Linked DNA regions of Saccharomyces cerevisiae S288C. The gene in region 2 interacts genetically with the main gene of each other region. Each region holds a gene or a part of one and is shown on either strand. Other genes may lie near its edges.

Evidence for each region.
Region 1: of TUS1 (region 2) and YPK2, extra expression of one rescues a mutant of the other (dosage rescue), as found in Saccharomyces cerevisiae (one study listed by BioGRID).
Region 3: mutations in TUS1 (region 2) and HSP150 are lethal when combined (synthetic lethality), as found in Saccharomyces cerevisiae (2 studies listed by BioGRID, with this or other methods).
Region 4: of TUS1 (region 2) and IQG1, extra expression of one rescues a mutant of the other (dosage rescue), as found in Saccharomyces cerevisiae (one study listed by BioGRID).

The regions. Positions count from the first base shown.
Region 1 is NC_001145.3:472,911-477,437, forward strand, and holds YPK2 (putative protein kinase YPK2), read right to left. Parts: upstream 2,544-4,527; coding exon 510-2,543; downstream 1-509. Other genes in the region: YMR103C (uncharacterized protein), read right to left, coding at 1-354; phosphoglucomutase PGM2, read right to left, coding at 2,987-4,527. UniProt on the Saccharomyces cerevisiae protein: Plays an essential role in the proliferation of yeast cells. Involved in a signaling pathway, required for optimal cell wall integrity, that acts in parallel with the PKC1-SLT2-dependent pathway.
Region 2 is NC_001144.5:980,872-987,345, reverse strand, and holds TUS1 (Rho family guanine nucleotide exchange factor TUS1), read right to left. Parts: upstream 4,453-6,474; coding exon 529-4,452; downstream 1-528. Other genes in the region: TDA5 (Tda5p), read right to left, coding at 1-133, 205-284. UniProt on the Saccharomyces cerevisiae protein: Guanine nucleotide-exchange factor (GEF) for RHO1 that stimulates the exchange of RHO1 GDP-bound form into GTP-bound form. Required for signaling of cell wall defects to RHO1.
Region 3 is NC_001142.9:118,502-122,237, reverse strand, and holds HSP150 (heat shock protein HSP150), read right to left. Parts: upstream 1,790-3,736; coding exon 548-1,789; downstream 1-547. Other genes in the region: PIR5 (beta-1,3-glucan linked protein), read left to right, coding at 3,413-3,736. UniProt on the Saccharomyces cerevisiae protein: Component of the outer cell wall layer. Required for stability of the cell wall and for optimal growth. Required for resistance against several antifungal and cell wall-perturbing agents and for tolerance to heat shock.
Region 4 is NC_001148.4:90,072-96,931, reverse strand, and holds IQG1 (Iqg1p), read left to right. Parts: upstream 1-1,822; coding exon 1,823-6,310; downstream 6,311-6,860. Other genes in the region: Hsp90 family chaperone HSP82, read left to right, coding at 1-436; GTPase-activating protein CIN2, read left to right, coding at 674-698, 779-1,560; signal recognition particle subunit SRP68, read right to left, coding at 6,616-6,860. UniProt on the Saccharomyces cerevisiae protein: Required for the assembly and the contraction of the actomyosin ring at the bud neck during cytokinesis.

The DNA.
Region 1 (4,527 bases), on a different chromosome or scaffold from region 2:
GCTCCCCATGGCTGAGCCCGCGCAAGGAAATCCAGGATCATCCGCGGAAGAAATAAGCTGCTCCCGGCCCAGACTATGTAAGAAAAGTGGCAACAAACAGAAAAGCGAATCTTTCCTTTCAGGCAATGCAAGGGTCCTTTGCCGTTTGGCGAATTCCGGTAACCTCGACTTGCGCCCCGCGGGCTTCGCTTTGACATCCGCGGGTATAAGCGTCCGTCCTTCGGCCGACAACAGGTCGGTCTTTGATCTCAATTCCGTAGATGGAAGAATTCTGATAATGCTGTAAAAGAAATGAATAAGCAACATAAGTCGTGTGAGAGTTGCTAAAAGAAGAGCGCAGCCTCTGCGGACCATTCTATTTTCTGTAGTTCTTCTTGTCCCCGTTAACCACAATAGTAACGGAGTGCGTATCGCAATCTACTTGAACTATCCATTTTTGAAAATTGCAACCTCTTGCGGCTATAGCTATAAATTCCGTCCGGCTCGGCTCGGCTTGCTTCGGCTTGCTTCTAACTAATGCTTCTCCCCTGCGAAGGAGAATCACCCAACTGTTCGTCACCAATGTACGTCCACCCACCAAACTGCTTTTGAATACTTGCACTTAAGTACTCGTCCACTACACTATCGATCGGTTTTTCCTTAGTGAACTCTTGATCAAAATTTGCAGTATCTATTTCACTCTTTACAATTGGCTTGTAAGGCGGAATATAGCCCTTCAAAAGTAGCTTTTTCCATGAGATGTCTTTAAAGAAAGGATGGTTACGAATTTCATCTGTACCGTTAACGCCGAGTCTTCTGCTTGGGTCTCTGCTTAAGAGGCCAATTAATAGGTCTTTTGCCGCAGGGTCAAATCCATCAGGAAATAGTAGCGGTTGCTGCAGAATTTTCTTGTACATAACAGGAACGTTCTCATCATAGTATGGTGGCAGCCCTGTCATCATCTCATACAGTAAGATACCTAATGTCCACCAGTCAACTGTTTTAGTATAGCCCTGCCCCAACAAGATTTCTGGTGCCAAATATTCGGGAGTACCACAGAAAGTGTCTGTTTTGTCATTATCCTTCATGTTCAGCTTGCAAAGCCCAAAATCACACAGTGCAATATGTCCTTGGTAATCCAATAGAATGTTTTCAGGCTTTAGGTCACGATAAATGACGTCAAGTTTGTGTAATGAATCGAGAGCACATAATAGTTCTGCAATATAAAAACGGGAGCGTGCTAGACTGAATCGTCCCTCGTGTTGTAAATGGTAGAACAGTTCACCGCCATTAATGAAAGCTAATACTAGGTACAACTTCTCCGGAGATTGGAATGAGAACTTCAACGGAACAATAAAGGGGCAGTCAACTCTTGCTAGGACAGTCCTCTCCGCTAAAGTATGTGTCACTTCACATTTCGATACAATATATGCTTTTCTCAGAGCCTTCAAAGCGTAAATCTTTTGGGTATCTTTTTTCCTTACTTGCATCACTTTGCCGAACGAACCCTTCCCGATAACCTTCAATAGATCAAAGTCATCAATGGAGAGAGGCTTGTTCTTAGAAGGTTTGTAGTCCACCGTGATATTTAATTTACCATATCCCCTTTCTAAAGAAATCCAATGGTGATTGTATAGTCTTATTTGGGCTGCAGAATCGATTTTTAAATTCAAAGGTAAATGGAAGGAGTCCAAATGGATATCCTGATTTGTATTGATTTTTTTTAAAATCTCCTTCAGTACTTCGTCCTGCTCGCCAATCTCCTGTTGCCAGTTTTTAGAGGGTAAAAGTAGGGATGGAATCCTTGCAAAGACATCGATTTTTAAAAATCGTAATTTTCTTGTTACATCAAATGTCGATATTTTGTTAAACACTGGTTGCTCCATCGTTCCCATATCTGGACTAATAGTAGTAATAGAATTATCAAATTCAATTGTAAAATAAAGTAATGGGCTTGAATTTGTTGACCCAGGTAACAATATAGAGGAAGGAATGAATTTAGTGGCAAAAGCTCTATCTATCAAGCCTTCCCCTGCTGAATCTTGATCCACTCTCTTGTATCGTGGTAGCTGCCGCATTATGGCTGCAACTTCGGAAGCGTCATTGGATGATGAAGTAAGGATGCCGGAACTTAGTAGTTTTTGTAAAATAGTAGAGTTAGAGGTGATAGGGAAGGGAAGAGTAAAATCTTTACCAGAATACACCTTCACTGTCATTAGTCCGGATTCCGAACTCGGTCCCTGCGTCTCAGTAGACGACTGACTAGCTTTCCTTTCGGAAGCCTTAGAATTGTCATTTCCTATCCCCGATGGATTCTTGAAGGATGCATCATTACGTAATTTTGGAGAACTTAAGGAACTTGGGAGAGTCTCATTTGTATTGATCTTTCTTATATGGTGTTCGTGTTCATGATTATGATTCTTCGGGCTACCATCGTGATGTTTTTCTCCATGGTGGAAATGAAACAGGCCATTACCCCACGATTTTTCATTTTCATCTTCACTACTCCCATCATCTTCTTTGGACCTTCCTAACTTAAACTTGGATATTCGCCAGGAATGCATGTTACTATATGTATATTTGTATACGCGATAATTTGACCCAGTTGAACAATTCTGGTTTAGGAGCACTTTGGCTGAATTTTATCATTTTATTTATAAATCTAAGGATGACGGCCATTTTACAGATTTCTCGAGGGAAATATAATAAAAAACTCGGGGTAGGTAATCTGAATTCGGGGATACGCTAATTTGGGAAAAATTCGTGAATTAGATATAATTAGAAACAGCACTTATGAAGAAGATACTGCGATTAACCAAAATATTCTCCTCCTTATGAAAAAAAAAAAAAAAAGACTCAGAAACCTATGCAATCGTTTGCTAATATGTCGAAATATGGATCTATTAAGTATATAAAGTATGTGTTCAAAAAATTGAAATTTTCTTCTTTACCGTTAATATTCATTGAAAAAGGTGAAAATCATTAAGCCATTAGTAAATCATTCGTTTTAAGTACGAACCGTTGGTTCTTCAGTTCCTAAAACTTGTTTAAAGTTCAAGAACTTGATGACCGAGTTAATAATTGGCTTCAAGTATTCTTCAGCTGTCTTTTGGTATTGTGATTTATCATCGCAGTATTTTTCAATGTACAATCTAATGGTAGCACCTGAAGAACCTGTACCTGACAATCTTAGAACGAATCTTGCACCATTGGAAAGCTTGACATATAAACCTTGATGGTCAGAAACAGAACCGTCCAAATCTGTGTATGAAAAATCACCACAATCGGTGACCTTAAGAGACTCATCGGCTGGGAAGGCGGAATTAACAACACCCGATTTGGTAACATATGCTCTCAATTGATCGACAATCTTGTTAGCTTTTTCTGTTTCAACTTTTTCAAAATCATAACGAGTGAAGAAAGTACGGCCGTACTTTGCCCAGAATTCATTCTGTATCGTCTTAATAGAAGCTTCGTTCTCCGGATGATGCTTGTTGTAAATGGCCAAGATGTTCAACCACGCCATAATGGCCCAAACACCGTCCTTTTCCCTTACGTGGTTGGAACCAGTACCAAACGATTCTTCACCACAAATAGATAATTTTTTAGCGTCGAACAAAGCACAGAAAAATTTCCAGCCAGTTGGGACCTCATAACAGTTTAGACCATGGGCCTTGGCAACACGGTCTATGGCTCCTGAGGTAGGGAATGAACGGGCCAGACCATATATACCTTGCTTGGCGAAATATGGGATTTCAGCTGCATATTCGGCAATAATTGCGACGGAGTCACCTGGAGAAACGAAAGATGGGCCGTAACCGTAAATCATATTTCTATCACCATCACCATCGGATGCAGCACCAAACTCAATCTTTTCACGATCTACTCTTTTCACTAACGAACTGGCATAAGTTAAGTTTGGATCTGGATGCATACCACCAAAATCCGGAGAAGGATGCCAGTTTTGTAAAACCTCATCCGCCGGTAAACCAAATTCATCAACGAAAATAGCCTTACCGTATGGTCCAGTTACACCGTTCATACTGTCAAACAGTAACTTCCAATTCTTAGTAGAACGTTGATTATCGATGAATTTCTTGATTAAGTCGAAATCGAAGATTTCCTTCAAGAAGTTGACATAATCTTTTGTAATATCGATAATGTCAACGAGTAATGGACCGTATTTCTTGTTCTTGCCTATCGTACCCAAGTCTAGTTCTGGGAAGTCTTTGATAATCTTATAGCTGGTAAGCTTTTTGGAAATCTCCCAAATAGCATTTGTGACGGATTCAGGAGCAGGACCCCCATTGGATAAGTTATACTTAATACCCATGTCATTTTCTGGACCACCTGGATTATGTGAGGCGGTTAAGATAATACCACCAGTACATTTTTCCTCGTAGGTTCTCATGATGTGAGAAGCGGCTGGCGTAGACAGAAGACCATGCTGGCCAATAACTAACTTTTTAATACCGTTGGCAGCACCGATAGCGGCAATCTTATGAAGAATGACATCATTGTAGTAACGCCCATCACCACCGACAACAA
Region 2 (6,474 bases):
GCCATTCTTAAATTCACGAAGGCTCTTCCAGGCGACCTGTCCCGACCGCTTTATATAGGAATTAGCAATGAGGAATGCATTTATCAGTAGTGTATAGATTGTTAGACAAATGCTTATCGAGTCGCTTAGAGACCTAGGTTAGTTCGTCATGTTAGTATAAAAAACGCTGTTTCTAACCTCATGCCTATTTTCTACTTTACATACCATCTCAATACAAGAGCTACCAGAAGTGGATAGCGCAGCAGTGGCAGAACTACCCAACGACACAAACAGTCTATATTCATCACCAGAACTTCACCTTTTCCTCACAGCCGTATTATCACATATTAATGTATCTGTTCTACTGATTTTAAAGAGCTACTTGTTATACGGCTAAATGCACTTCCGAGGGTAACCTGTTATTCAGGATTATATGAACAGAGAGAATAATGATGTGAGTTACTGCAAATAGCATAATTACTGGACTATATTCTTGTTGGCTTATATTATTACAACGATATTTACCATTAAAAGTGTCTATATCTTATATTATTGATGATCTGCCATTGCTACAGGATTGCACGCGACTAATAATTGTCTATTAAGTATATTTGGATGACTTAACACAAGAATTGTTTTCTCTCTCCTTTCTGAACTAGCCAGCTTTATCTTCTTTCCTTTTATGATCTGGACGGGAACCAATTCGCCTAGGTTCTGCTCAACATTTTTTAAGTCGTAAATCTGTATCAAATTGTCGCCAACGAGAATCAAATGATTACCATGGAAGCTCGCGCCGGTACAACAAAAATCAAGTAAGAGAATATCCTTTCTCCAATCAGACATCTCACCGTAGCAGTTTATTTTCACTACGGCTTCATCATAAACCAAGGCAAAAAAACTAGATTGTGATATTTGAAAAAAATTGACCGGTATAGCTTTGCAAGTGGCGATATCCTTTTTTGCTTCTTCAGTGAGAGATTCTATGGAGGGGCGTTTCTTGGAGTCTGTAGCACTTTTGAACGGTAAGCTATTCAAATGTGGATGCCTCAAGTGTGCCATCATATCTTTATCATTCAAAAAAGATGGTAAGACTATTCCGTTATCCTCGAATGAATCTTGATAAAGTATGACTGTTTTCTTTGTACACACAGCAAAACTTTTCCTGAATATGGCAATATCCTCAATTTCGTTATTCAGAATGTTATTACTTGAACTTGGGAGCTTATACTCTTTGTAAAATTTGAAATATTTTACTTGGTTTGTCAATTGATCAAATTCTGGTGTTAATATAACTATCTTCCCCTTTCTTTCAAAAAATAAATGTTTTGAGTTACCAAAATCATCAGCAATTTTGAAGAATCTCACCTTATCTCTGATTACTGTTCCCACAATGCAGTTTTCATCTAGAGTGTTTCCTTGCGCTAGGTAACGGCTCACTACCGTTGAGATATTAAAATAGCACAACTTTCTGTTATCCAATACAAACAAGAGCCCCAACTTAACATTGGCTTCCATTCTTTTGACGTCGTTTAATTCTAATATTTTAACGAAACCACTACCATAATCGTCTCTATATTTCACATAGATACCGTCTGTTGTAGCCACAAATAGGTAAATTCTGCCCTCGAATTTAACATCTTCACAACAAAGAATCCGTGTTGTCTTACTCCATGAACATGAATCTTTGTTTGCTTTTTGAGCGTAAGCTTTGAGTGCTACATCAATTTCTGATCCTTCCGGAGCTACAGGTAGATTCACCGGTGCATCCTTGTCGAAGTATGCGAACTCAGAGCTCAACACTGTAAATTCAAAGGCATTTAAATCATGATTTTCTGCATTTCTTTTAAAAGATTCCATGATAGCATCAATCCATTGGTTGAGTACTTCTGCACTTTCTGTAAAAAATTTGAACGATTCACCTGTGGCTGTATTTCTGATCTTAAATGAGAACTCGTCTGTGTTTGGATTCGCGTTAGAAATTTCAGTATTACTAGTCTTTCTATCTCCATACGCTGTTGACATGTGATTTCCAGAACTTTTAAGCAGAGGTCTCATGGAGTTAATCGGTGTCGAAAAATTATGCATTGGGGATTTATGTTCTTTCTGAGAGTAGTTTCTCAGAGGCTGTTTACTTGTTCCTGGAATTTTCCTTTTCTCGAGACTTAAATAATCTATTGGGATAGGTCTTTCAATAAGCTTATATTTTTGAGTTTCTCCTTTACTTATTTCCTCTGTAATCAGTAAGCAATTGTCCAATAATGCGATATACACTGGGGTTGGGTCCAGCCATAAATCCCTCTTTTTATAAACAGTGCCAGATAGTACTAACTTCCTTTCCGGATAAGTTAAACCAAGAGCTAGTTTATCCTGAATTGCATCATCGTCATTTGCGTTAGTACTACCACCGACGTTCACATAGCTTGTTGCATTACTACTATTAGTACTTAATACTAATTGTTTCGAAAACCTTACTAGTTTCCTATGGTCAATTGCTAATCCATGTACCTGATTAACTTCAAAGTTCAACTTTTCTACTTCCTTAATTACTATTTTCAGGTATTCATAATCCTCCATGGAAGGATCCGTGTTCTTCAAAATTGAGCGCAGAGTTACGGGCATGTTTTGTAAAGATTTGAAAAACCCCCCAAAGAATATAACATCATGATACATCTTCGATCTTGTAATTTCAACCGAGTTATCAATCTCCTTAAGCCATGTTACAAATTTCGTCTTGTTTTTCTTCTCCCACATTATGATTTCGTGTACCGTTGCCATAGCTTTCGCGTAATTCAAATATATATTCTTGGCTTCACCACACCATTTTGAATAGATTTTTCCAACGCCATCAATAAACTTACCTCTCGTTTTTAATTTCCAAAATATTGGCGTCAAAAGAAATTCGGTATGTAATTGTATTAGAGGTTCGAAGATATCAAATGCCAATGCCTTGAACTCAGGCTCATCTGGAAGTAGGGATTTGTCAAACCGTTTCCCATAGATTTCTACCGCGGCAGTAGCCATGTTTAAGGATCTTTCTTCTAAAATAATTAAGTCAAATATAAAGCTTTGTCTTTGTACTTCACGGGGATTAATTTCTGCTAAATCATCTGGAGTCAAGTGCCAGTATTCTGTCCAAAGTCCAACTGATTTATTTATGATTTCGGAAAGTTTTATTTCTTTTCTGAAGCCAGAGCTTTGGCCATGTGTGCAAACGTTGGAATAACAAATCAGGGAGTTTGTAGATCCATAAGTATTATCGATGAATGAATAGCACGGTAGTAGTTCGGTGAAAACACCAGTAATATCCAGCCCTCCCACAACTACGGCTACCTCTTCATCGTTAATGATATCGAATCTTACTGCTTTCTGGGAAATAAACGAAGCCATAATATTATCCACATTTGAGTCTATCGTATCTTGATCGAAATTTGTAGGCATTTGAAACTCTAAAAGTAATTGAACAATTTGGAAAAGATCGATTTTCGTGAAGACACATTCATTAAACCATTCAAAATAAACTTTCAAAATCCACTCATAAATAGCAGAAAGTTTGTAAACATTATCACATTGATAAAGCTTGTGCTCATCGATAGATTGAATTGAAAATGGTTGTGTCGGTGCAGTAATGCTTGGTGCTAATTCTAATGGCTTGGCTCCTAGTAAAGAGTTAAAACTACTTTGCCTGGCATTTGAGTTATTAAAAGTATAATCTGAGTCAGAATAAACACTTTCTAGGGCTTCTGATACTCGGCTATTCCCACTTACGTTTCTAGATGTTGATAGAGGCGGTGGTGGTTTCGTAAAAAATTCTGAGTCTTCATCATCAAAAGGAGATAGCAGAAGAGTAGTAGTGAAAGGAATTGGGGGTAAAGCTTTTTCTCTTTCATGACACCGTAGATCTGATTCATCAGAGAAGTGAGCCTGCTGTTTGCTACTATCTCTTGGAGATTTAGGGGAATTTGGACTAAATCCGTTCGCAAATGGTGATTTTAAGATCCTGGAATGGTTAGATATGTATTCCATGTGATGTCGTTCCTCTGAGTTTCCTATAAAGGATAGTTTATTAGGTGATCTTTCCCGGGACTGAGAACTGGGAGATACCATGGGTGAGTCTATCCGTATTGATTCAGTGGAATACAAAAGGGGTGGCGGTGGTGGTGGTCGTCTTTCTTTGACGTACTTTGTCGATTTGGGTGTGGATTCTGAAGAGCTAGTACCGTTTCCCCTTGCACTATGTTTTGATGTAAAGGTAAAAGCCTGAGGGACCGGGCTTTGGAATTGCTGGGTGTCACTGATTGGTGTCCAGCCAATTGAGATATTATCTGTTCCGTTATCAGAATCATCCAAAAAGGAGTTCCTCGTATTCAATGGTGGCAGTTTGGGCAATTCGATGCTCTTTCGTTGGCTTTCTTGACGGCTTACTCGTTTTTCTGGTGTTCGTTCAAAAGGGGAACTTCTATTATATCGATACATGTTAACTTGCTGCACTCAATAAGTTTTTTGTTTTAATGTTTATATTCGAAGTAGTATCAATTAATTGTTCATAACAGTGGCTGGAGGGGGTATACAGAACCACTAAAACCTCCAGAAATAATAGTTGAATAAAATATTGATGCAAGAAATGGATTTTGAACAGTTATATTGCGTACTGATCATCCTCTCTAGGGGTTGTTTACCTAAACGATGTGTTAACGTTTTCTCTAAATGATTTATATTGCGGCCTATGCGACGAGTCAGTATGAACAATAGAAAATCTTAAGAAGCCGTAAGCTAAAAACATCAAATGATTATAGCGCACCAACTGCTCGACTGGAAGCAGCGAAATTACGTATGTATGACCGAAGCTCAGTTAATTTTCTCTTAAGTAAAGACACAACCTTTAAATGTTGACTAACTGTGTTTGAGTAGGGGAAAAGTCCCCAAAAGTTGACGCATTTCCTTTGCATGACTGGTTTTGGAAAAGATTTCGACCTAACTCCCCAAAAAATTACTGTGAACACCTATCTGTGTAAATTTACGGTTGTTTTAGTCAAAATAGCTGTTATAACGTTTATCATAGTCCACTAAAACAGTATTTGGACACCGAACAAACTGTTTTCGATTAGGAGATTAATCGCATCTATTAAATAGCTTGATGTTTTTATTATACAATCTTCAACATTAGTTGTGATATGGAAGTTTAAAATACTGGCTAGAGACACTCGTTAGGGTTAAGGTAAATCGATAGCGGTAGTACATTATGGCATACATACCAAGATCGGGTAAAGCCGTTCCATAGTTAGATGCCTACTACTAAATGACGGTCTGAAATGGGAATTATATACGATAAATATCACAAATTGAGGAGATGGAATATAAGGATTAGCTGCTAATTATATGACAGGTTTATTGCGACGTTACTATATTACAACAGATGGCGGTTTTAGGGTAGTACCGCTTGCTTAATCGAATCAGATCAAATCAGAAGAAAAAGCAGGATCAGGCTTGAAGTACACGCTCAATGAACAAAAGCGAAAATAACCTTTTGTTTAGAGGTGCTTGTCATATCGAAATACTATATTAACTTTAAAATATTCCGCGCTACGTTGGGTGAATTAGAACTGACCAGGAGCATTTCCCTAATAAACTAAATTAGCGTGGCCACACTTTCAATCTTCGTGTGAACCTGTTGGAATAAAAATCAACTATCATCTACTAACTAGTATTTACGTTACTAGTATATTATCATATACGGTGTTAGAAGATGACGCAAATGATGAGAAATAGTCATCTAAATTAGTGGAAGCTGAAACGCAAGGATTGATAATGTAATAGGATCAATGAATATTAACATATAAAACGATGATAATAATATTTATAGAATTGTGTAGAATTGCAGATTCCCTTTTATGGATTCCTAAATCCTTGAGGAGAACTTCTAGTATATCTACATACCTAATATTATAGCCTTAATCACAATGGAATCCCAACAATTACATCAAAATCCACATTCTCTACATGGTAGCGCCTATGCTTCGGTTACTTCTAAGGAAGTCCCATCAAATCAAGATCCGTTAGCCGTTTCAGCTTCCAATTTACCGGAATTTGATAGAGATTCCACTAAGGTTAATTCTCAAGAAGAGACAACACCTGGGACATCAGCTGTTCCAGAGAACCATCATCATGTCTCTCCTCAACCTGCTTCAGTACCACCTCCACAGAATGGACAGTACCAACAGCACGGCATGATGACCCCAAACAAAGCTATGGCTTCTAACTGGGCACATTACCAACAACCATCTATGATGACGTGTTCACATTATCAAACGTCACCTGCGTATTATCAACCGGACCCACACTATCCGCTGCCACAGTATATCCCACCGCTGAGTACTTCCTCACCTGATCCAATCGATTCACAGGATCAACACTCTGAAGTACCTCAAGCTAAGACAAAGGTGAGAAATAATGTCTTACCACCACACACTTTAACATCAGAAGAAAACTTTTCTACAT
Region 3 (3,736 bases), on a different chromosome or scaffold from region 2:
ACCTTTTATAAGGGAAAAGAAATAGAAAAAGATTATGATTTGTAAAAAGATTTTGGTATGAATGATTTGTATATTACATTTTTAAGGTTCTCTAAAAGAAGGTTTCTTTTATTTAGATAAATATTTTTTTTTTAATAGACGTAGCCACATGCAGCCTTTAATATACACATTAGGACTGGCTTATTTTTGCCGTGTAGCGAGGCAATTATGTGGTCACGATCACTCGTTGCTTTCCAAGTCTTTTTAACATTTTATAAGATTATTAGATAATGATATACAGAAAATTAGTTATAAAAAAAACATTTTATGGAAGAGTATATAAGGGGCAATTAAGAAAATTAGCATTGCCAAACGAACCAATAATGGGAAAACATCAAGTATGGCTAGCCAAATTCTCGGAAGAATGGATTGGCCAACCGCAGAAAAGATAAATGCAAAGGAATGGATGCGACTAGAGTAGTAGTAGAAAAGGACACTTCTTTTTTTCCTTTCTAATCAATGCAAATGAGAAAAAGTCATCAGGATAAAAGAACTAATAGTTTTCTGCTTAACAGTCTATCAAATCGATAGCTTCCAAGTGGACTGGAGTACATTGACTACCAATGTGTTCGTCGTACAAGTTGTAGAAAGTACCGGACAAACATTGGTAGAAGACATCATTGTCACCAATAGCCAAGTTACCGTCTGGAGTTATAGACCAACCAGCAGCGTAGATGGCACCAGCTTGTGGTGGTGGACCGTCAAATTGGAATTGTCTGTTAGCAACAATAGAACCAATTCTACCCTTACCGTCAGTTAAGATACCGCCCTTTAAGTTCATTTCTAAGGTACCAGAAGTCTTACAGGAGACAGCATCGACTGGGTCAGTGGAGGTAGCGGCTGCAGAAGCGGAAGTAGCAGTAGTAGCTTGGACTTGGCCATCGCTTACTTGGCTGGCTGCTTGAGTGGTTTTTGTAGTGGCTTGAACTTGACCGTCAGTAATTTGGGAAACAGCTGCGGCAGTGGTTTTGGTAGTTGCTTGAACTTGACCATCACCGATTTGAGAGACAGCAGCAGCGGTAGTCTTGGTAGTAGCTTGAACTTGACCATCACCGATTTGAGAAACGGCGGCAGCAGTAGTCTTGGTGGTAGCTTGAACTTGACCATCACCAATTTGAGAGACAGCAGCAGCGGTAGTCTTAGTAGTAGCTTGAACTTGACCATCACCGATTTGAGAAACGGCAGCAGCGGTGCTCTTTGGGGCTAAAGTAGTGGTGGTAGCTTGAACTTGACCATCACCGATTTGAGAAACGGCAGCAGCGGTGCTCTTTGGGGCTAAAGTAGTGGTGGTAGCTTGGATTTGACCATCACTGATTTGAGAAACGGCAGCGGCGGTAGTCTTAGCAGAGGTAGTCTTGGTGGTAGCTTGAATTTGACCATCACCAATTTGAGAGACAGCAGCAGCGGTAGTCTTAGTAGTAGCTTGGATTTGACCATCACCGATCTGAGAAACGGCGGCAGCGGTACTCTTGGTAGAGACAGAAGCAGTAGTGGTAGCAGCTTGGACTTGACCATCACCAATTTGGGAAGCAGCTCTCTTGGCCTTAGATGAGGCTGTGGTGGCTGCAGATGATGCGCTGGATGTAGTGGAGATTGGTTGAACGGCAATACCGAAGGTGGAAGCGTAGTCGGTAACACCACCGCTGTAAGTGGCTGTTGGAGTCAAAGTGGACCAAGGCTCAGATGGAGCATAGGCGGCCAATGTAGTAGCGGCCAAAGCAGAGGCAACCAAAGTCTTTTTGTATTGCATTATATTATTATTATTGTACTAGGGTTAGAAAAGGAATATGAGTTTCTTATTGATATTTTTTTGAGCTTTGAGGTAAAAGGAAGGACATAATCGAAATTGATTGTCGTTAGACTTCAAGTGTTCCTTTTATATCTCGAGGATTCCTACCATTCAAGCTAATAAATTTTTCACCAACCATTCCTTTTTTAGGATCTTTCTTATTTTGACCAAAATCTAAATTTAGCTCAAAATGTGGTGTTCCGCTTGAGAAAACACTCATTTGTACTATTAGTTTTCCTGATCTGGTAAAGAAATGAAAAATTAGGCTGAGTTGGCGACTTATCACTACAGACGGAAAGCCATTAATGAGCTTTTTTGTCTTTAATAATTTCCGAAATAGGAAATAGTAAGATCACTTAATATGAATAACTCCCAAGAATTACCATTTACGGCCCCTTCCAATAGAGGTGGGAAATGTGTATGTGCATTGTGAGGGTCGCCTAATTGGGCAGAAGGGGGGAGAAATGAGCGTGGCAAAGCAGTGAGATTGACTCGTTTTGCGGCCAGCAACGTGTTGGACATGGCGGACCTGCCTGCATTAATTATAGCACAAAGCCTATCATTCATCGCATCCTTGTGCAAGTTCTAAGTTCACCTCCATATGGATTAGCGGCCAGGATAATGGAAAAAATTTACCATACTTTTTTTTGCAGAATAGATCAACAGTTTGGTGCATTTGTTCCTTCTTGTTTTTTTTTTGCTTGTTTTTACAATTTTTACTGTTTTACTATGAACTGATGGCTGGTATAGTGACAGAGTTTCTACTTTTTTGCTACTTAGTAGACTACTATACTAACTAGGACATATGTTGTTCGTAACGGTAAATGCACTTAAAGTATTTTACTGTTTTTAATTGGATTTGCTTGTTGTAGTAATTTTTGGACTGATTTCGGTCAATCGCTATTTTAATTTTTACTGTTCCTTGCATCTTTTACTAATCCGAAATTAGCTCAGCTCAAATTTGTAGTTTACTAAAGTACGCTTTTCCTAAAAGACGAAAACACAAATATAGTGAAGACATTATCCGACTTTTTTGCCAAAAAGGGACAAAGCACGAAATTAAGTAAAACTGTGGTAAAAACTACAGAGGAACGTCGCATTGGCTAGCAAGGATCTATTGTTACTCTATCAAAACCCCTTTGCCAAGCTCACATATCCTATTTGCCGTTCCTGAAGGCATCCAACTAGGCTTGATATCATCTTACTTATATAGTGGGCTTCTGCTCCTTAACCTGATCAATTTCACCTCTAATTTTGTAGGATTCCTGAGAAAATACAGAAATTCTAACGTTCCTCTGATATATTACGAGTGAATCATTGGGTATATATAAGAGAAGTGGAGTAACAAAAGCTGTAGAAAGTAAGTTACACAGAGTCACAAAAGAATATCGACTTTTTGTGCAAGAAAATTCGACTGTTTTGACTCACAAAATTATTCTTTTTGCGAAAGAGTGGGGAAACGAAAACAGTTAAAAGAGTAAAATAACTTGTATACATATACTTATCTTCTTGTTTCGAAATTTCTGTTTAGTCTCGATTTTTTAATTCTATACAACTTACTGAAGAAGTGAACACCGCCCCAATATGCATTACAAGAAAGCATTTCTAGCATCTCTATTAAGTAGTATTGCGCTAACTGCGTACGCTCCACCTGAACCCTGGGCAACTTTAACTCCAAGCTCTAAAATGGATGGTGGCACAACAGAGTACCGGACCTCATTCGGTCTCGCTGTTATACCTTTCACCGTTACTGAAAGTAAGGTCAAAAGAAACGTCATTTCACAAATTAATGACGGTCAAGTGCAAGTAACGACACAAAAATTACCTCATCCAGTTTCGCAAATTGGAGACGGCCAAATACAAGTTACAACGCAGAAGGTGCCTCCAGTAGTGTCACATATTGTGTCA
Region 4 (6,860 bases), on a different chromosome or scaffold from region 2:
TGTTGTTTCTTACAAATTGTTGGATGCCCCAGCTGCTATCAGAACTGGTCAATTTGGTTGGTCTGCTAACATGGAAAGAATCATGAAGGCTCAAGCCTTGAGAGACTCTTCCATGTCCTCCTACATGTCTTCCAAGAAGACTTTCGAAATTTCTCCAAAATCTCCAATTATCAAGGAATTGAAAAAGAGAGTTGACGAAGGTGGTGCTCAAGACAAGACTGTCAAGGACTTGACTAAGTTATTATATGAAACTGCTTTGTTGACTTCCGGCTTCAGTTTGGACGAACCAACTTCCTTTGCATCAAGAATTAACAGATTGATCTCTTTGGGTTTGAACATTGATGAGGATGAAGAAACAGAGACTGCTCCAGAAGCATCCACCGCAGCTCCGGTTGAAGAGGTTCCAGCTGACACCGAAATGGAAGAGGTAGATTAGGTAGAACATCATGGCCTTGAATAGGTTATAAACAAAACATAATATAACGTATAGGTATTCGAATGAATAAATAAGTATGTAAATAGGGCATCTGCATGGAAATAACTGGGTAAAACATTACAATGTATTTTTTTAGAGTTTTCACTATTCCGACGCGTCTAGTGTGTCATACAAAACGCGAAGAATCTGAAATCGTGAAATATACTTAAGAATATAACTGAAATAGCTTAAGCATAAATGGACTTTACTGCGAAGATAAAGGGTATGTTGAAACTCATCTGCTTTCATTATGCGTCCAACTAATTAACATTGCATATTTTCGTATACTATTTTTTTGTGTAGAGCTCGAACGAGAACTCTCAGAGACGAGTGACTATAAGACCTTGCAGAAGAAGACCATAAGTCTTCGAAGTGAGCTGAATACTCTGTCACATTCTTTGACATCTTATGAAAAAGAACACTTCTCCAATGATATAGAAAATGTATTAAAATCTATTAATGCAAAATTATCTGAGTCAAAGGGCAAAAAACGACTATTCTCCTTCAAACAGAAAAATTCATCATCAGCCGTTCATAAGAATGTTGAACGTACGGAGCTTGCGAATGCGCCGGCGTATACCACTACTTTGAAAAAGCATTATGTCTTGGAGAAGGGTGATTCAGCTTTTGAAAATTTAGAGTTTTGTACTGTTACATCAACAACAGATTATAGTGGCAATAGTGCCCTTTCTGGTTCTTTGTGCTTTCGCAATATTACTAAATGTGTCATAAACTTACAAAGGATTTTCTTTCAAACAGGGAGTATTTTCATAACTGATTGTACGGATTCTATAATTTTTCTACGGTCTCCTTCCGACAAGGATTTCCAAATCCGTTTACGTGACTTGAAAAATTGCAAAATTTTGATAGAGAAACTCTCGCCAAGTATCGATTGCAAACAAGTGGTAATCATAGAAAATTGTCACAAATGCATTTTCAACGCAAGCACTCGGGACCACCTAATTATACAAGATTTCTCTAACCCCTTCCAAAGCGAAGAAACTGAGGACAATTCTGCCTTTGCATTTGAAGATTTTGATATTTGTAACAAGGATACAATGCAGTTGTTTCGCGCTTACTTATAGCGCTTTATATTGAGCTACGCATCGCTAAAATTGTTTATTTCGTATATAGTGATTTAAGCATGCCATTAATAGCATATCCTAAAAGAGGAAAGTGTAAACATTACAAATTCTTCCATCTTGAAATTAAGAAACCCTGTTATTGACATCAGAAAACAACAGCTTTTTATTGAAAATAAGAAAGTAGTTGGCCAAAACATAGATTATTTTTTTGAAAAACTTATTGCACCAGTTCAATTATATGTAACAAGGTGGTGCAAAAACAATGACAGCATATTCAGGCTCTCCTTCGAAACCAGGCAATAATAATTCTTATCTAAATCGTTATGTTGAAAACCTAGGCACCAATGTGACTCCACCTCTGAGACCGCAGTCAAGTTCCAAAATCAACTCTTCGTTAAACATAGCGTCGCCAAGTCATTTAAAGACTAAGACGTCAGCTAGCAACAGTTCTGCGACAATTTTGTCAAAAAAAGTAGAAAGTTCCGTATCAAAGCTGAAGCCATCCCTTCCTAACAAACTCGTAGGAAAATATACCGTAGACTTAAGTAATTATTCGAAAATAGAACTGAGGTACTATGAGTTTTTATGCAGAGTATCAGAAGTCAAAATATGGATTGAAGCTGTTATTGAGGAAGCACTACCATCAGAAATAGAGTTATGTGTTGGAGACTCACTTAGGAATGGTGTTTTTTTGGCCAAGCTAACCCAGAGGATAAATCCAGATTTGACAACGGTTATATTTCCTGCAGGTGATAAACTACAATTTAAACACACTCAGAACATTAATGCCTTTTTTGGTTTGGTAGAACATGTCGGTGTTCCGGACTCTTTTAGATTTGAATTGCAAGATCTCTATAACAAGAAGAATATCCCTCAGGTTTTCGAAACCCTGCATATTCTTATATCAATGATTAATAAGAAATGGCCAGGCAAAACGCCCGCTTTAACAAATGTATCGGGCCAAATAAGTTTTACCAAAGAAGAAATCGCAGCTTGTAAAAAAGCATGGCCTAGAATTAGAGACTTCAAGTCCTTAGGAACTAATATCAATACTGCACCAGCTTCCCCTGAGGAACCAAAAGAAAAAAGAAGCGGATTGATAAAAGACTTTAATAAATTTGAAAGGCCGAATATACCGGTGGAAGAAATTTTAATTACCCCAAGAAAGAATATAACAGATGCTAATTGCTCCGATTTTTCTAATACACCTTCACCTTATAATGAAGCTCCAAAAATGTCAAATTTGGATGTCGTTGTTGAGAAGAGGAAATTCACACCCATTGAGCCGAGTCTTCTGGGCCCTACACCATCTTTAGAATATAGCCCAATAAAAAACAAAAGTCTGTCGTACTATTCTCCTACCATCTCGAAATACTTGACATATGATACAGAATTTTATACGAGAAGGAGTCGTGCAAGAGAGGAAGATTTGAATTATTACCAGACGTTCAAATACTCACCTTCTCATTATTCTCCCATGAGAAGAGAAAGGATGACAGAGGAACAATTTTTAGAGAAGGTAGTTCAACTGCAAAATATTTGTCGAGGAGTTAATACCCGTTTTAACCTATACATTCAAAAAAGGTTACTGAACCTTTTTGAACAGGACATACTAAGGTTTCAAGCATGCCTAAGAGGAAATAAATTTAGAGTATTGTCATCAATGTATTTGCCAATAAGAAGAGCAAAGATTGACGTTCCTCATGTCGAGGCGATTCAATCGCGAATTAAGGGAAGCAGAATTCGATATAAATACGATAAATTGAAATTTACACTCTCAAGGTTTTCGTGTACTGTCGAACTTTTGCAAGCATATTGTCGTTCAAAATTGTTGAAGACAACCGTTAACACAAAATTAAATGATATTGAGATATCACATTATCCTCTGACAAAATTGCAGTCTTATATGCGTGCTTCTTATGTGAGAAAGAAGGTGATGTCCCTCAATACAAAGTTGAACGATGAGCGAGAAAGTATTATGAAGTTTTCGGCAATCATCAGAGGTAACGTTGTGAGGTGTTCAGAGGACGCGATATTAAGTGCTGTACATGATGTACATAAGGAAAATATCTCAAAATTGCAAAGCTTGATTAGAGGAATATTTACGCGTTCGTGCCTAGCATCAATAATATATTCACTTGGAAAAGAAAACTGTAATATTATTCAATTATCAGCCTGTATACGCGGAAACGCTGTAAGACATAAGGTACAGTCACTGTTTGCGCCCGAAAATAATCTCAGTGAAACTGTGCACGACCTCCAGGGTTTGGTTAGAGGTATTCTAGTCCGCTACACATTAGACTTAGTCGATGACATTGTGGAGTATAATAATTTAGCATTATTTCAAGCATTTTCTAGAGGCGCTTTAGTACGTGAAAGCTTGGACCAAAAGTCGAGTTTTTACAAGAGAAACGTAAGGTCGGTTATTATGATTCAAAGCTGGATTAGGAAAAGTCTGCAAAGATCGGCATATTTGGAACTTCTAGACTGTCCAAATCCAAGTCTTTGGGCTGTCAAAAAATTCGTTCATTTGCTCAATGGAACAGCAACCATTGAAGAGGTCCAAAACCAGTTGGAGAGTTGCCAAGCCTCTCTTGATTCCGAAAATATGAAGAAGGAACGATTACTGAAGAGCATAAGACAACAACTAAATATTAACGGAGTATTGGATAAGTTTGGACTATTAAAAGATAAAGATCATGAACTCGGTATTTCCGATTCTACGATTCCGAAGTCTAAATATCAAAAGTATGAAAAACTGTTCTATATGTTGCAAGTTGATCCCTCTTATTGGAAATTGCTGTATTTGAAAGAGCCAGAATTTGTTGCAAAGAATGTTTATATGACATTTGGAACAGTGAATCAAAGGATGAACGACAGAGAGAGATCCTATTTCACAAGGTTTGTTTGTGAAATGTTACAAAATGCGATTAATGAAGCACCGAGTATTGAAAGCTTTCTTGACAACCGATCACAATTTTGGCAAACCATTCTTCAAGATTTTTTGAGAAGAGAGTCTCCAGAATTCTTCTCTATAATAGTCCCAGTTTTGGATTACTTGTCAGATCCAGTAGTGGATTTTGAAAGTGATCCATACAAAATTTATCAAGAAATACACGGCTTTAGCTCTCCTCAGCATTGTTCGCCTGTGGATGATGCGAGTACCAAGAATAAGTTCATTGACAATTTAAGGTGCCTATGGCACGCGATTGAAATGGTCGCTGAAATTTATACCAGAAAGGTTCACACTATTCCCGTTGAAATCAGGTACCTCTGCACTAAAATCTTCTGCTACGCGGCAGATAAGAATATTGAGGAGATTGACTCTTTAAGGGCCATATCAAGTATTCTAGTGAACGTTTTTGTGTCTGAATATTTGGTCAACCGGGAATATTACGGATACAAAGACAGCAACGTTCAAAAAAATAACCAAAAAATTGACATTCTAATGAAATCCTTGGCGACTGTTTTTGAAATCAAAAATTTTGATGGCTTTTTGGATCCATTGAACCAGTACGCTAACGAAATAAAGCCTCATATCAAAGATGTCCTTTATAATGTGTTAGTAGATCCAGAGTATGAACAAGAGGGAGATAGATTGATTTATTTGGATATGGTATCGCCAAGCCCCAAATTGGAATTGTTAACTGAAAAGGTTCTGGAAATCAGTGGTAAATTTGAAGAGTATTTAAATGAATTTCCGGAAGCAGATATTTTGCATGATATTTTGGAAAAGAACTTGGACAATTCATCCTTTCCAAGATCAGGACGTGTTACCTTGGAATTGGATGCATCTGCATATCGATTCCTCGTTAGTGATGACAAGATGAGAAAAATCTACGACCAAGTTAAAAGGGCATTTGTGTACATGATGCAAATTGAGGATGTAGATACCAATTTGTATGACCTTTCAATTAGTACAATTCTACCTCAAGATGAACCAAATTTTGCAAATTTTCTGGAGCAAAATCCTAAAATCAGGGATGATCCAATGATACAGAAGCTGAAACCATTGAAATACTTCACACTCAAAAATGTTACTTTGAAAAAAATACATGAACTAGAAAGTACGGGGACTTTTTGCTCTTCTGATAATAAGTTACAAAATTTCTTAAACGATATTGCGAACACTATTAAAAATCCCAACTATGCCATTGATTATGTAACCCAGGAAATTTACATCACAAAGGAAACACTCACAAAAATTTCGGAAATGAACCACAGCTTAGATATAGAATTATCAAGGCTTAAAAAACATGTTGATCATACGATAAAAGACTTCCAGAAAGCCAAGGATTTTTCGCCGGTGCACAAAAGTAAATTTGGAAATTTTAAGAATGCAGTAAAAAAAGTTCAAGGAAGAGAACGTTCTGAATTGCAGGGAATGAAGTTTAAATGGAACACAAAGCAGTTGTATGAAAGAGGAGTGCTTAAAACCATCAGGGGTGAAAAACTAGCTGAACTGACTGTAAAAGTCTTTGGTTCGAGCGGTCCTAAATTCCCAGATATAATATTCAAAATTTCCACATCGGATGGTTCTAGATTCGGTATTCAAATGATTGACAAAAGAAAAGGGCCCGATAAACGATACTCGGATGATGTCGATTCTTTCTCATTTAAAGACTTGATAAAGACTCAAGTTGAACCAAAAATCGAGACGTGGAAATTATTCCATTCCAACGTTGTTGTTAACAATAGCCAATTACTACATTTGATTGTCAGTTTTTTCTATAAAAGGAACGCTTTGTAATAGATAACTCGGTTTTGAGCATATTGGGCAAAAGCTGTTACTAAATTTTCCCATTCTTTCTATTTTTATCTTTGTTTTTATTTTCCTTATTTTCAGCAGCAAAAATAATTTAACGTATAGTTATGTAAAGGACCCTAAACATCTTCTTTTTAGCATGTGCTGTAATTTGGCGATATCTTCAGTAGATAAAAATAAGATGTGTTAAGTAATGCACTTCGTTATTTGGCTACTATAGTTGGCAATCATCATTTGTTTAAATGGAATAATCTATATAGTACTATAAATACAGTCATACTAGAAAAATATTAACGACCAAATAGGCCCAAGAAACCACGCTTCTTTTTAGGCTCTCCTTCCGTCTGCTCATTAGAAATTGGTGTTTGAGAGATGCTCTCGGTTTCTGTGACTGAATCTTTCACTTGAGAAGCTGAGGGCTCTTGCTTATCATATGTTATGTAGTTGAAGGCCAAATCAAAAAGTGTTGGTTTACTAGGAATGGGCAGCATTTTTGGCTTGAGAGGGAATAAATTTTTCAATTGTATGTCCGTTG